2 linked regions of the Caenorhabditis elegans genome follow. The protein of the gene in region 1 purifies or fractionates together with the protein of each later gene. This does not show direct contact. Each region holds a gene or a part of one and is shown in the gene's direction. Other genes may lie near its edges.

Evidence for each region. The genes of interacting proteins can lie anywhere in the genome.
Region 2: the proteins of tpp-2 (region 1) and upb-1 fractionate together in Caenorhabditis elegans (co-fractionation; one large-scale study listed by BioGRID). This does not show direct contact.

Annotation. Positions count from the first base shown.
Region 1 is NC_003280.10:6,092,050-6,099,525, reverse strand, and holds tpp-2 (Tripeptidyl-peptidase 2), read left to right. Parts: upstream 1-1,928; 5' UTR 1,929-2,094; coding exon 2,095-2,205; intron 2,206-2,297; coding exon 2,298-2,402; intron 2,403-2,451; coding exon 2,452-3,401; intron 3,402-3,448; coding exon 3,449-3,676; intron 3,677-3,723; coding exon 3,724-4,514; intron 4,515-4,567; coding exon 4,568-5,038; intron 5,039-5,083; coding exon 5,084-5,321; intron 5,322-5,367; coding exon 5,368-5,711; intron 5,712-5,759; coding exon 5,760-6,646; 3' UTR 6,647-6,770; downstream 6,771-7,476. Other genes in the region: rbbp-5 (Retinoblastoma-binding protein homolog 5), read right to left, coding at 1-24, 174-1,024, 1,077-1,324, 1,373-1,483, 1,623-1,694; nspg-3 (DUF19 domain-containing protein), read right to left, coding at 6,771-6,981, 7,030-7,126, 7,170-7,324, 7,444-7,476. UniProt on the Caenorhabditis elegans protein: Component of the proteolytic cascade acting downstream of the 26S proteasome in the ubiquitin-proteasome pathway. Has a role in regulation of fat storage.
Region 2 is NC_003280.10:6,287,777-6,291,713, reverse strand, and holds upb-1 (Beta-ureidopropionase), read left to right. Parts: upstream 1-1,616; 5' UTR 1,617-1,622; coding exon 1,623-1,732; intron 1,733-1,777; coding exon 1,778-1,886; intron 1,887-2,100; coding exon 2,101-2,678; intron 2,679-2,722; coding exon 2,723-2,915; intron 2,916-3,029; coding exon 3,030-3,203; 3' UTR 3,204-3,302; downstream 3,303-3,937. Other genes in the region: nyn-3 (RNase NYN domain-containing protein), read left to right, coding at 1-41, 93-203, 299-417, 476-690, 736-1,062.

The DNA of each region.
Region 1 (7,476 bases):
GAAGATTGTCCAAATTTCGAATATCTGAAAATTACATTTTAATAATATTATCTCGAATATGTTATATCTTAATGCAAATTTTATTTTTTTGTTTTATAAATAAATATTAAATTTGTAAAACTTTCTTCTATAGTTGGAAAAAATTATTTTTGAAGTATTCAAGTTTAACTGACCATCAGGAAGTCTTTGATCGTTGTCTGCATTTTCTATGTCCAATGGAACTGGAATATACCATAATGGACCTGATTCTAAATTCCTTGCCGGTTTCATGATATTACAATCTTCCTCATCCGAACTAGCAAGGTAATCTTCAGGCCGAACATTGACTACATCAATAATATCATCTTCTGCATCTTGACTTTTACTAGTCATGTCTTCATCGGCATCCTCATCTTCCATATCAAATTCATTTTCTTTCTCAATATACTTTTCGTTTTCTTCCAGTTCTTGAAATTCTGGAGCAAATGCAGACCAGTTTTCAACATGAGCTTGGGTCCACATTGAAACGGTTCCTTGCGCAATTGATAATATTATTGGACGAGTTGGGTGCCACTGAACATCTAGAAGAGCTTCTCCTTTATTTCCGTGTAGAATCTTTATGAGAGATCCTGTGTTACTCTCCCAAATATACAATGAATGTGCTTTTGTTGATGCTCCACAGACATACAATCCATCACTATCAGTACACACATTCTTCCATGCAGCCTTGTTCACCATATCGAGAACCTTATACTTCGCTTCAACCATTTGTCCTCTTTGATGAAGAAGATCTTCAAGTTCATACGTTCGAATTACTCTATCCTGTGTATTTGTTATGATAAATCGACTCTTCATTGGTACAATTATTTGTCTTATTTGTTGAACAGTGTTTTGTTTACACCAAGCGACACATTTCAGAGTTTCCGCATTATAAATGAGCAGTTTCCCTTTTCCGGTTCCAGCAATAATGTATTTTCCTTTTCGATCATAAGATACGCAGCTAGCCGACTCGTCGCTTGATCCAGGAGTGTCGTTTGCAAGAACTCTAAAAAGTCAAATTAGTATCAAAATCTACATAAAGGAAACCTAAAACTTACGTTTGAATTCTCGGAGAAAATTGCTCTACCGTTGGCTGTTTATTCACTTGAAGAACGATCGCTTTATTGTCATTTCTGGGATGAAACATTGCAAATGTAACCATTGAGTTAAAACGGATTCTGTGAAGAAGAGTTCCGGCAAGTACATCAAACATTGCAATGGAGTTGTCAGCAGAACTTGTGAGAAGTTTTCTACCATCTCGAGACCATGATAAACAGCTGACCGGGAGACAATGGGCGGAAAATGTCTAAAATTCTAAATAATTAGTTTGCATTGAAGAACAATTAATTCTCACTCTGGCAATATTCCTGGTCATAAAATCGTAAATCAGCACCCTGCCATCAGTACAGCCAACAGCAACAATACTTCCCCATCGATTAAATTTGCAGCAGTTCGCAGAGGCATTCTGAAGTATAAAAGGTTCGAATAAAAATACAACAAATCGCTGTTTCATGGAAACTTTAAAAAACAACCCGGCGATCTTAATTAGAAAATCATGTTGAAAACCTAAACTGTATTCCAGTAAGTTCGGAAAATTAACAAACCTGCAAGTCAAGATGGCATTCAAGTTCTTCTGGAAATTGAGCCCCGTATGTTCGATCGAGTATTTCGACCATTTCTGGAAAAATAACAGAATTGAATTAATTCACCCAATAAACAAATAATAAGTTTAAAATATATGTTTGCGATAAATAAGTACTTTAATTATGTTGAATAAATATTAAAAAGTCGTTCAATCAATGCAAAAATTTTTAAATATCGTAATATGGCCGAGGAATGCCCTCGTCCGCGGAGCATGCTCGGCCGTGTACTCCTCCAGGGAAACTAGCCTGTTTTTGTCACCATCGTTCATTTTCTCTTTTTTTTCACAATTTGTGTTCGTTCTGTTTACCAGCAACTGTCGTTTGAAAAATTGTTTTGCAGAGAGCTTTGGGTAAAAACAATATAAAAATAGATAAGTAGCACACCAAAAACGCTCGCCTAAAGCAGATTTTGAATCATTTTGTTTTCGCATAAATGATAGTGATAAGAAACTGGCAGCGTATTAGCTATTTATCATTTTGTCGATTTTCAACTCGATCACTGTCAATTCAGCAATTCCAGAAAACTCCTCTGTTGCTGGTAGTGGTGGGTATTAACAAATTTATTCATTTAATACCAGCTTTTGCTAGACTATTAATTAACTACAACGTTTCATAATTTTTTACGTTCAATTTCAGAGGCAACAAGGATCTGCACGTTTAAAAATGACTTCTTCTCCTCCTGAAATAGTCCCGCAACAGCCATTAGATGCGTTGCTTCTCAACAAGACGGATACAGAGCAGGTTACAATTTGATATTTTTTTAATTTTAGTTCCAATGGTTTATTTTCAGGAAATATTTCTCACAAAATACCCCAATTATGATGGAAGGGATATTTTGATTGCAATTCTGGATACAGGAGTTGATCCATCGTTGCCGGGAATGCAAGTTACAACAACCGGAGAAAGAAAAATGTTTGATGTTATTGACTGTTCTGGAGCTGGTGATGTTGATACCTCGATCACAAGAACTGTCAAAGATGGAGTTATTGAAGGAATTTCTGGACGAAAATTAGCGATTCCAGAGAAATGGAAGTGCCCAACTGGACAATACCATGTAGGACTGAAGCCAATCTTTGAGCTCTACACGAAGGGAGTGAAATCTCGTGTTATCAGCGAACGGAAAGAGGATGTTGTTGGACCGTCTCATAACATCGCAGCTTCGGAAGCTTTGAAACAACTTACAGAACATGAAAAAGTAGTTGGAGGTACCAGCGAAAAAACTTCAGACAAGTGGGCAAGAGAAGACTTTGCGTGCAAAGTTGATTTCCTGAAATCAATGGCTTCTGTAGCCGATGTTGGACCAGTTGCTGATGTCGTCACCTGGCATGATGGTGAAATGTGGAGAGTATGCATTGATACATCTTTCCGTGGACGATTAGGATTGGGCAATGTGCTCGGAACGTTTCGTGAAACTGGCGACTATGCTTATCTTACTAATAAGGATTCTGTTGTGTATACTGTGCGAGTGAGTCCCGATGGAAACCTCACGGAAATCGTCGTCCCATCTGGTGCACATGGAAGCCATGTTGCAGGAATCGCTGCTGCAAACTATCCAGATAATCCTCAAAAGAATGGACTTGCTCCAGGAGCAAAAATTCTCTCACTAAACATTGGAGATCATCGTTTGGGAGCTATGGAAACTGGACAAGCAATGACGAGAGCATTCAATATGTGCGCCGAGTTGAACGTCGATATCATTAATATGTCATTCGGAGAAGGAACTCATTTGCCGGATGTTGGGTAAGACATCGTTAGTCTATTGCTCAGCGTTCAGAGATTTGTTTCAGACGCGTCATTGAAGAAGCTCGACGATTGATTAATAGACGAGGCGTGATCTACGTTTGCTCAGCTGGAAATCAAGGACCTGCGCTTTCTACTGTCGGTGCTCCTGGTGGAACTACAACTGGTGTAATTGGAATTGGTGCTTATTTAACTTCCGAATCAGCTGATACGCTCTACGGTGTTTACAAGCCTGTCGAAAGTAGTATTTACCCATGGAGCTCTAGAGGACCATGGTAAGTTTTTTTTCAGTGTTCTTGAATTTAAAACTTTCATTTTTCAGCCAAGACGGAAAGCTAGGAGTTAGTCTTGTGGCTCCAGCGGCTGCATTTGCTGGAGTTCCTCAATATTGTCGCCAAAGTATGCAAATGATGAATGGAACAAGTATGAGCTCTCCCAATGCAGCTGGAAATGTCGCTTGTATGCTGTCAGGATTGAAGCAGAATAATTTGAAATGGACTCCATACACCGTTCGCATGGCATTGGAAAATACTGCCTATATGCTTCCACATATTGAGTCATTTTCGCAAGGACAAGGAATGATCAAGATCGCCACTGCGTATGAAAAACTTTCCGAGATTTTAGTCAATAAAGTGTTCCCACCAAGACTGACACATTTCGAGATCAATGTATCGAATCACTGCAAGAAATCGAAAGGTGTATATGTTCGTGAGCCTAACTGGAATGGACCGCAGGAATTCACGATTGGCGTTGAACCAATTTTCCAGAATCATCTATCTGATAACAATTTACCTGCAATCAGTTTTGAGAAACAGATTATTTTACAATCAACTGCTCCATGGGTTTCTCATCCACAAACAATGTTTGTGGTAGCTCAAGAAAGAACAATGGTTGTGACCGTTGATGCATCAAAAGCACCAAAAGGTGCAAACTACACTGAAATTGTTGGAATTGATACGGCTGATCCATCATTGGGACCGATTTTCCGTATTCCGGTTACTGTAATCAATCCTGAGAAGGTAGCGGTTGATCAATACACTTCTAGACTTGTTGGTAAATCGGGAGTCACCGAAAGACGATTTGTCGAAGTACCGTCGTGGGCAACCAGTGCAAGTAAGTAAAAAATGAAAATTAAAGAAAATTCTATTAATCTCATCATTTTACAGAGATAACACTCCGATCTACTAACAAAGACGAAATGGATAGATTTACACTTCATACGGTCTACATTGAGGATGATAAATGTTCCCGAAACACAGAAACTCAAAAAATACAGGGTCCAATTGGAAATGAATGGAGCAAGTCGATTACTGTTCAAGGTGGAAAGACTCTTGAAGCATGTGTTGTTCGTGCTTGGTCACGTGGAAAGAATCCTGTGGATGTTGACATGACCATCGACTTCTTTGGAGTCAAAAAGCCAACTTCTATTTCACTGATTCATGGAGCAACTAACACGCCCATTCGCTTCCAAGCTGCTCCAACGAAAAGTATCGACGTTTCTCCTTCGATTTCTCTAAAATCACTTGTTGTATCACTGAAACCACAATCTGCCAAAGTAGAACCATTGGGACCACGTGATATGTTCCTTACGTCTGGACTTCAAATCAATCGTCTTCTGTTGACTTATCAGCTTAAAGGTAACCTTTTTTAACTACATAATTATTAAAATATTATTTTTTCAGTTCAAAAACCAAGTGAAGTGCAACTTCAACTTGCTGGCCTTACTCCATATTTGTATGAATCTCCTGTGGACTGTGTACTCTTCCAAATTTTCGGAGCAAACAAGTCGTTTGTGGGTGCTTCTTCTTCGTACCCGGATCGTTGGACTCAGAAGCTTGAGAAAGGAGATTATACTATTCAGGCTCAGATTAGATATCCGGATGATCAAGTTTTGCAAGGAATGAAGGAACTTCCTCTGCTGTAAGTAATTCTTTAAATTCTAACTGAAATGATTTTTGTGTTTCAGTGTTCATGTGAAACTTGGAAACAAAATTTCTGTTGACCTCGCAGCTTCTGCCAGCGATGCAACACTTGGAAAAGAGTGCAAATTTGCTGGAAAAGCCCTTCTTCCAAATCAAGAAATGACCGTCTACGCTATGAATATCGCTGATGATAAATTGCCAAAGACTATCGTACCAACAAGTGGAAGTTTCCTTGCTGGAACATTTAGTGCTCTCAAGGATTCTGATTTGAGTGATGTAGACAAATCTGAAGTTATTTACTTTCTCAGTGAGTACTCTACTCGTCCTACGAAAGGATTGTCAATGGTTACAACAAAGAAAGATACGAATCAAAATCAGGAAATGACTGGTAGATAATAATTAAAAATTGTATCTTTTATTAAATTCATATTTACAGACGCCATTCGCGATTTGGAAGTATCATGGGTGCAAAAATTGACAGACGAAAAGGCAGCGAAAGAATTTTTCGAAGCTTGTCTGCAGAAGTATCCAGATCATCTCCCACTACTTCAGAATCGAGTAAAGCAATTGATGCAAGCAAAACTTGTGGATCAAACACCGGAAAACGTGCAGAAGATTATTGAATTATGTGGTCAAATTTTGCAAATCACAAAACCGAATGAAACTCTTCAGTTCTCATCCGTCAAGCAAGAACATGATGATGATCTCCTTACTGTTGACAAATGGCTGGCACTAACCGGAGGCAGTGAGGACCAGCGAAAGGATGTGGTGAAGTTGATTTCACAATTTGAGGAACGGAAGAAAAGTATTATTCTCGCTTTGCAAGCTCTTTCATCATTGGAGCAGGATATTGAAGTTCGTAAGAGCAAGTTCGACGTTCCAGCAAGTCTTCGTTTCGGAGGAATCACTCCTCTAATTTTCGGTGGAAAGCAAGGAGAAGTGATCAATAAGAAGTCTGAAGGTTATGAAGCACTGAAATCAAAATCTGAACAAATTGATGCAACTGTCTCTGAAGAACTGAAAAAGTTGGATAGTAATTGGACTGGAAATCAGTTTTACGTCAAGCTTCTCGTTTGGTTGTCTGCTGATGATACTAAAACTGCACTGATCTCTGCCAAACATGCAGCTGCTCTTGGACAATTTGGAAGATGTGCAAAGCTTCTCAACAAAGCTGGAGATGAACTGAAGTCGTCTGCTACTGATTCGCAAGCTGTTGATACATCATTGGCTGAAGTCTGCGAAAGTCTCGAGTGGAATCATCTTGCTACTCACTTTAAAAATTCGGCTCTGATCAAAAACAGAACCTCCTACCGTCTTTTCTAATTAGTGTATCATAAGAAATTTCGCGGGTTTCTTTTTTCTGGAAGCTTTTTTGCTTCCATTTCCGTTGTGAATCAAATGATTTTCCCATTTGAATAGATAAACTTTTATTGTTTTATAAATGAGATCAAACAAAAATTTTGCAGAGATACATTAAAATTATTAAGAAGAAGAATGTTCGAGGTTGCGACGAATTGATGCATGGCATGTACTCACAGAAGTTCCACCCAGTCATGTGGGTGAGAATCTTCTGATATTGGCAGTATGATTTGACAGCACTATTTCCACATGATTTTCTCACTACTGCTCGCTCACATTGTGTGGTTCGTGATACGGAGCTCAAAATTAAAAACTAATCTCAATAAGTCTGAAACTATTAGACTCACTCGCAACTGCCAACTTCCAAAACGGAACATTCAGTATAAATCGTGTCAGAGAGATCATTCAAACTGATTGCTTGCATACATTCATAATATGCCACAACTGAAATATTTATAAAACAATGAACGAGAATGAAAAACCTCACAATCATTTCCATAATTACAATAGAATTCAAGAAACCCCGTTTGTGAGATGTAATAAGCTGCATTGCTTTCTGAACCAAAAATTGCATTGAAAGTGTTATAGTTGAGACAATCATTGATGACGTCACTATGACAGTGACGTAGAGTTGTATATGTACTGTAATTATTCGTCTTTTTTAAAAATATTTATTCTAGCATGTAAAACCGGTTCTATTGAAATTCTTCAATAATTTTACAATTTAAAAGGTGTTGCAATGTTGTAATACCTTCACATACCTACACATTCCAGTGGCATCGTACCGAATTTTC
Region 2 (3,937 bases), 200 kb from region 1:
GTGACATTCACGCCGGCTAGAAGTGGTCGGGGACTACGAAAGTGAGTCAGAGTCGGAATGAAGTCAATGTGGGCAAGTCACGTGTTTTTCAGGGCGTTTATCAATTATGATGATTTGTATGTGGTTTCGTATGCAGCCAGACATGGAGGTACAATTGTCAGTGGAGACAAGTTCAAAGATATTCTCAATCAACCGTGTTACAGGTAACATTCCTATCATATTGTAAACTAGACTAGGACTTTTTCGGCTTTTTTAAAGCTATGCATTAAATTCAAATTTAATATTACACTGGTTTTAGTGACTTCCACCACGTCATCAGAAACCGAACAGTCGATGTAAAATTCCGACCGCTAACACTCGATTTCGTCGAATATCAATCAGATCGGTTTTATCGACATGCTCCCGAACTATTCACATGTAAGAAATTATTTCTATTTTTATAATCGAACATCATCTAGAATCTTGTTATTTTCAGATGAAAACACTAGTCAACGAACCGAATCTTTGCGTCAACGACTATTTGCGTTGCCTCATGAACCGGACTATAATCTTGTGAAAAATTCGAAACGACAAGTGACTGATGAGAGGAGAGCTTACTTGTGTGCTGAACTTGAAGCTATTCTCATTTCAATGAGTTATGCAGCCGGGAAAATGTTTCGAGATGTTGCAGAATTGCCATGTATTGATAATGTATGTGTACTTGTCCAATTGCCAAAAAATAAGGAAATATTTCAGTGTTTTCATGGATTAAGAGTGGAAGATGTTGCTCCGAAGAAATTTGCGGATGCATTCTACAGAAAATATCCGAAACGAGAAGGAAGATGTGATTTACTTCAAGAATGGGTTATGGAGCCTGTTGTAGAAGTTTCTGAGAAACAAACAAATAGCAATGAACTAAGTGATGATGTTCTTGTTCCAACTCCATTGCCTCTCCCGGAAAAGTCTAGTCAATCTGTCGTGAATGTTAATAAAGGAAAAATCGAACTTCCAAGAGATCATTCCCTTGGGTCGTTGCTTCAATGGTTCACACTGGCTGAAGAAGCAAATAAAATCAAGAAATAATAATCGAAATATTGATTTTTGATTGAGATCTGTTTCATTTTTACAAACAATTCGATAAACGTTTCGATTTTTTGCATGTTTTCTTTTTTCTATCTCTCGATTGATATCTTTGAATGACCTGACGGGTGCACGTGTTGAGACAGCTGTCGTTCTGAGAGGACAGGAGACTTTAAACTATTCAGTTAGGATCTCTTTAACATCAGATACTTTTGCTTTTTTGCTCTTTCTTGTTTTCTCGAAGATTCGCAGAAGAATCAAATTTGCTGGTCTGATACATCTTATCATTTCGGTCTTGATAAGAAGTTGAAAAAAAATTTGGTGTTCGCCGAAAAAAAGTTTCTCTTTTTCCTTGATTAAATTCTATTTTCCAATTGATAACACCACTTTCTCTTTAAATGGCATTCAAGTTCCGATAAATTTAAGGTCAAATACTGCCCAATAAATAGTGTTCATTCAATTTTAATGTGAATTCATTTTCTTATCTTGTCTTATCGCAATTTGTCCATTTTCACTAGAAACATCATATCTTTATATATTTATTTTATCTTATTCAGGTAAAAATGTCTGCAGCTCCGGCTCAATTCGATGGCGTTGAAACTGCTTTGGCTGAAAAATTGGACGGAGTTTCTTTAGATGAAGTCGAAAGAATTCTTTATGGTAGACCATACAGGTTTGTTTAAAATATAATGAAAATTCGCAAATACTTTATTTTCAGAGCACTGGAAATTTCTTCTATTGCGGAAAAACTAGCACAAGATGGTGATTTCCAACTGTCTGGATACATTGTGGACGCTCAAAAAGAACAAACAAGAGCTCCAAGACTGGTGAGCAGAAATTATAAAATTAAATTGTTTTAAATAACTTTTCTGATAACCAATTTTGTAGAAAGGAAGAATATTGTTATGGGAGATGTTCTGTCTGTTTCTCGTATTTAGCTTTTCATTCTTAATCTTTGAGCACTGCAAATATTAGGTGGAAAAAGAGAAAAAGAGAGTCCCAGTTTGTTATATATATTTGAAAATATTACCATTTTTTAAGGTTCGCGTTGCCGCTATTCAAAACAAAATCCACCGTCCAACTACAGACAGTGTCGTTGAACAACGTGATGCAATTCATCAACGTGTCGGAGCAATGATTGAAGCTGCTGCTTCCGCTGGAGCTAATGTTATTGGACTTCAAGAAGCTTGGACAATGCCATTTGCATTCTGTACTCGTGAACGTCTTCCATGGACAGAATTCGCAGAATCTGTATACACTGGACCAACTACACAATTCCTTTCTAAATTGGCCGTGAAACATGATATTGTGATTATTTCTCCAATTTTGGAAAGAGACGAAGAAAAGGATGATGTTATTTGGAATACAGCTGTTGTGATTTCTCATACTGGACGGGTTATCGGAAGATCTAGAAAGAATCATATTCCAAGAGTTGGAGATTTTAATGAATCTACATACTATATGGAGTCCACACTTGGTCATCCAGTTTTTGAAACCAAATACGGTCGTATCGGAATCAATATTTGTTACGGACGCCATCATCCACAAAATTGGATGATGTACGCTCTTAACGGTGCAGAGATCATCTTCAATCCATCAGCAACAGTTGGTGCTCTCAGGTTTGTTGATTCAATATTGAAACATTAAAAACATGGAAATTTAGTGAACCACTCTGGGGTATCGAAGCACGAAATGCTGCCATTGCCAATCACGTCTTCACAGTTGGAATTAACCGCGTGGGCACTGAAGTCTTCCCAAATGAATTTACCAGTGGAAATGGGCAACCAGCGCACAAAGACTTCGGTCACTTTTATGGATCCAGTTATATTGCTGCTCCTGATGGTAGCCGTACTCCAGTGAGTTTATTGAGGTTAAACTTCAACAATGAGTAACTGCTCAAAAATTTTTATAACTGTTTCTCTCTTTTAAAAAAAAATAGCTTGAACAAATCTGATACATATTTTTTTCAGGCATTATCTCGTGTTCGTGAGGGAGTTCTCATTGCTGAACTCGACTTAAATCTGTGTCGTCAATGCAAGGATGCTTGGGGATTCAGAATGACAAACCGTCTCGACATGTACGCTCAAAAGATTACGGAAGTTTCCAACCCGGACTATCGTCCAGACATCAGAAGAGAGCAATGAATCAGTTTTGTTGTTGACATTTCAATTTATGGATGATTTTTCTTTGTTTTCTATCACCTGATTATTATTTGAATCGTAAATAAATGTAATTCAATTTAGCTCATGATTTGAACTAATGAGGTGAATAGTAGTAGATCAGAAGAGGGAGATGACTCAACTTGTTGTACTTGATAAACTTTAAAAGAAGCAATCATGTGGAAGACTGAAGCTTTATAAACTTACTTACTAGTTAGGTGATATATACTTCAGCTCTTTTGCTTTTTAAAAGAAGTTTTCTTTAGATATTTGATAAGATATTTATTCTAGTGATAATATTTTTGCTGTCGTTACTGAGGCAACATATAGAGAAACTAGGCACCAATATTATAATCACTAGTTTCTGATAACCGCCCATCTCATGTTATTTTCCCTTCTTCTTGAGAATTTTTCCTAGTTCGCAGTAAACCAAAATTATTTTGGAATTTTCGTACTACTTTTGAATAACTATTAGATACTACTTTAAAGGTTTTGTTTTGTATTTTGAGATTTTGTATGCGGTATTGTTAATTTTTGTCCCATACCAGACTACTCTGATTGCCGTTCATCCAAGAAAAATGCGTTTATCTACAATTTTTAAGTAAAATATCAATTATTATAAGATGACTGTTTTTCATGAAAATTGAGAGAAACTCAGCAAGCGGAACGGCTTGACCAATTAAAAATACGATTTTTTATAATGAAGATGTTCGTAAGAT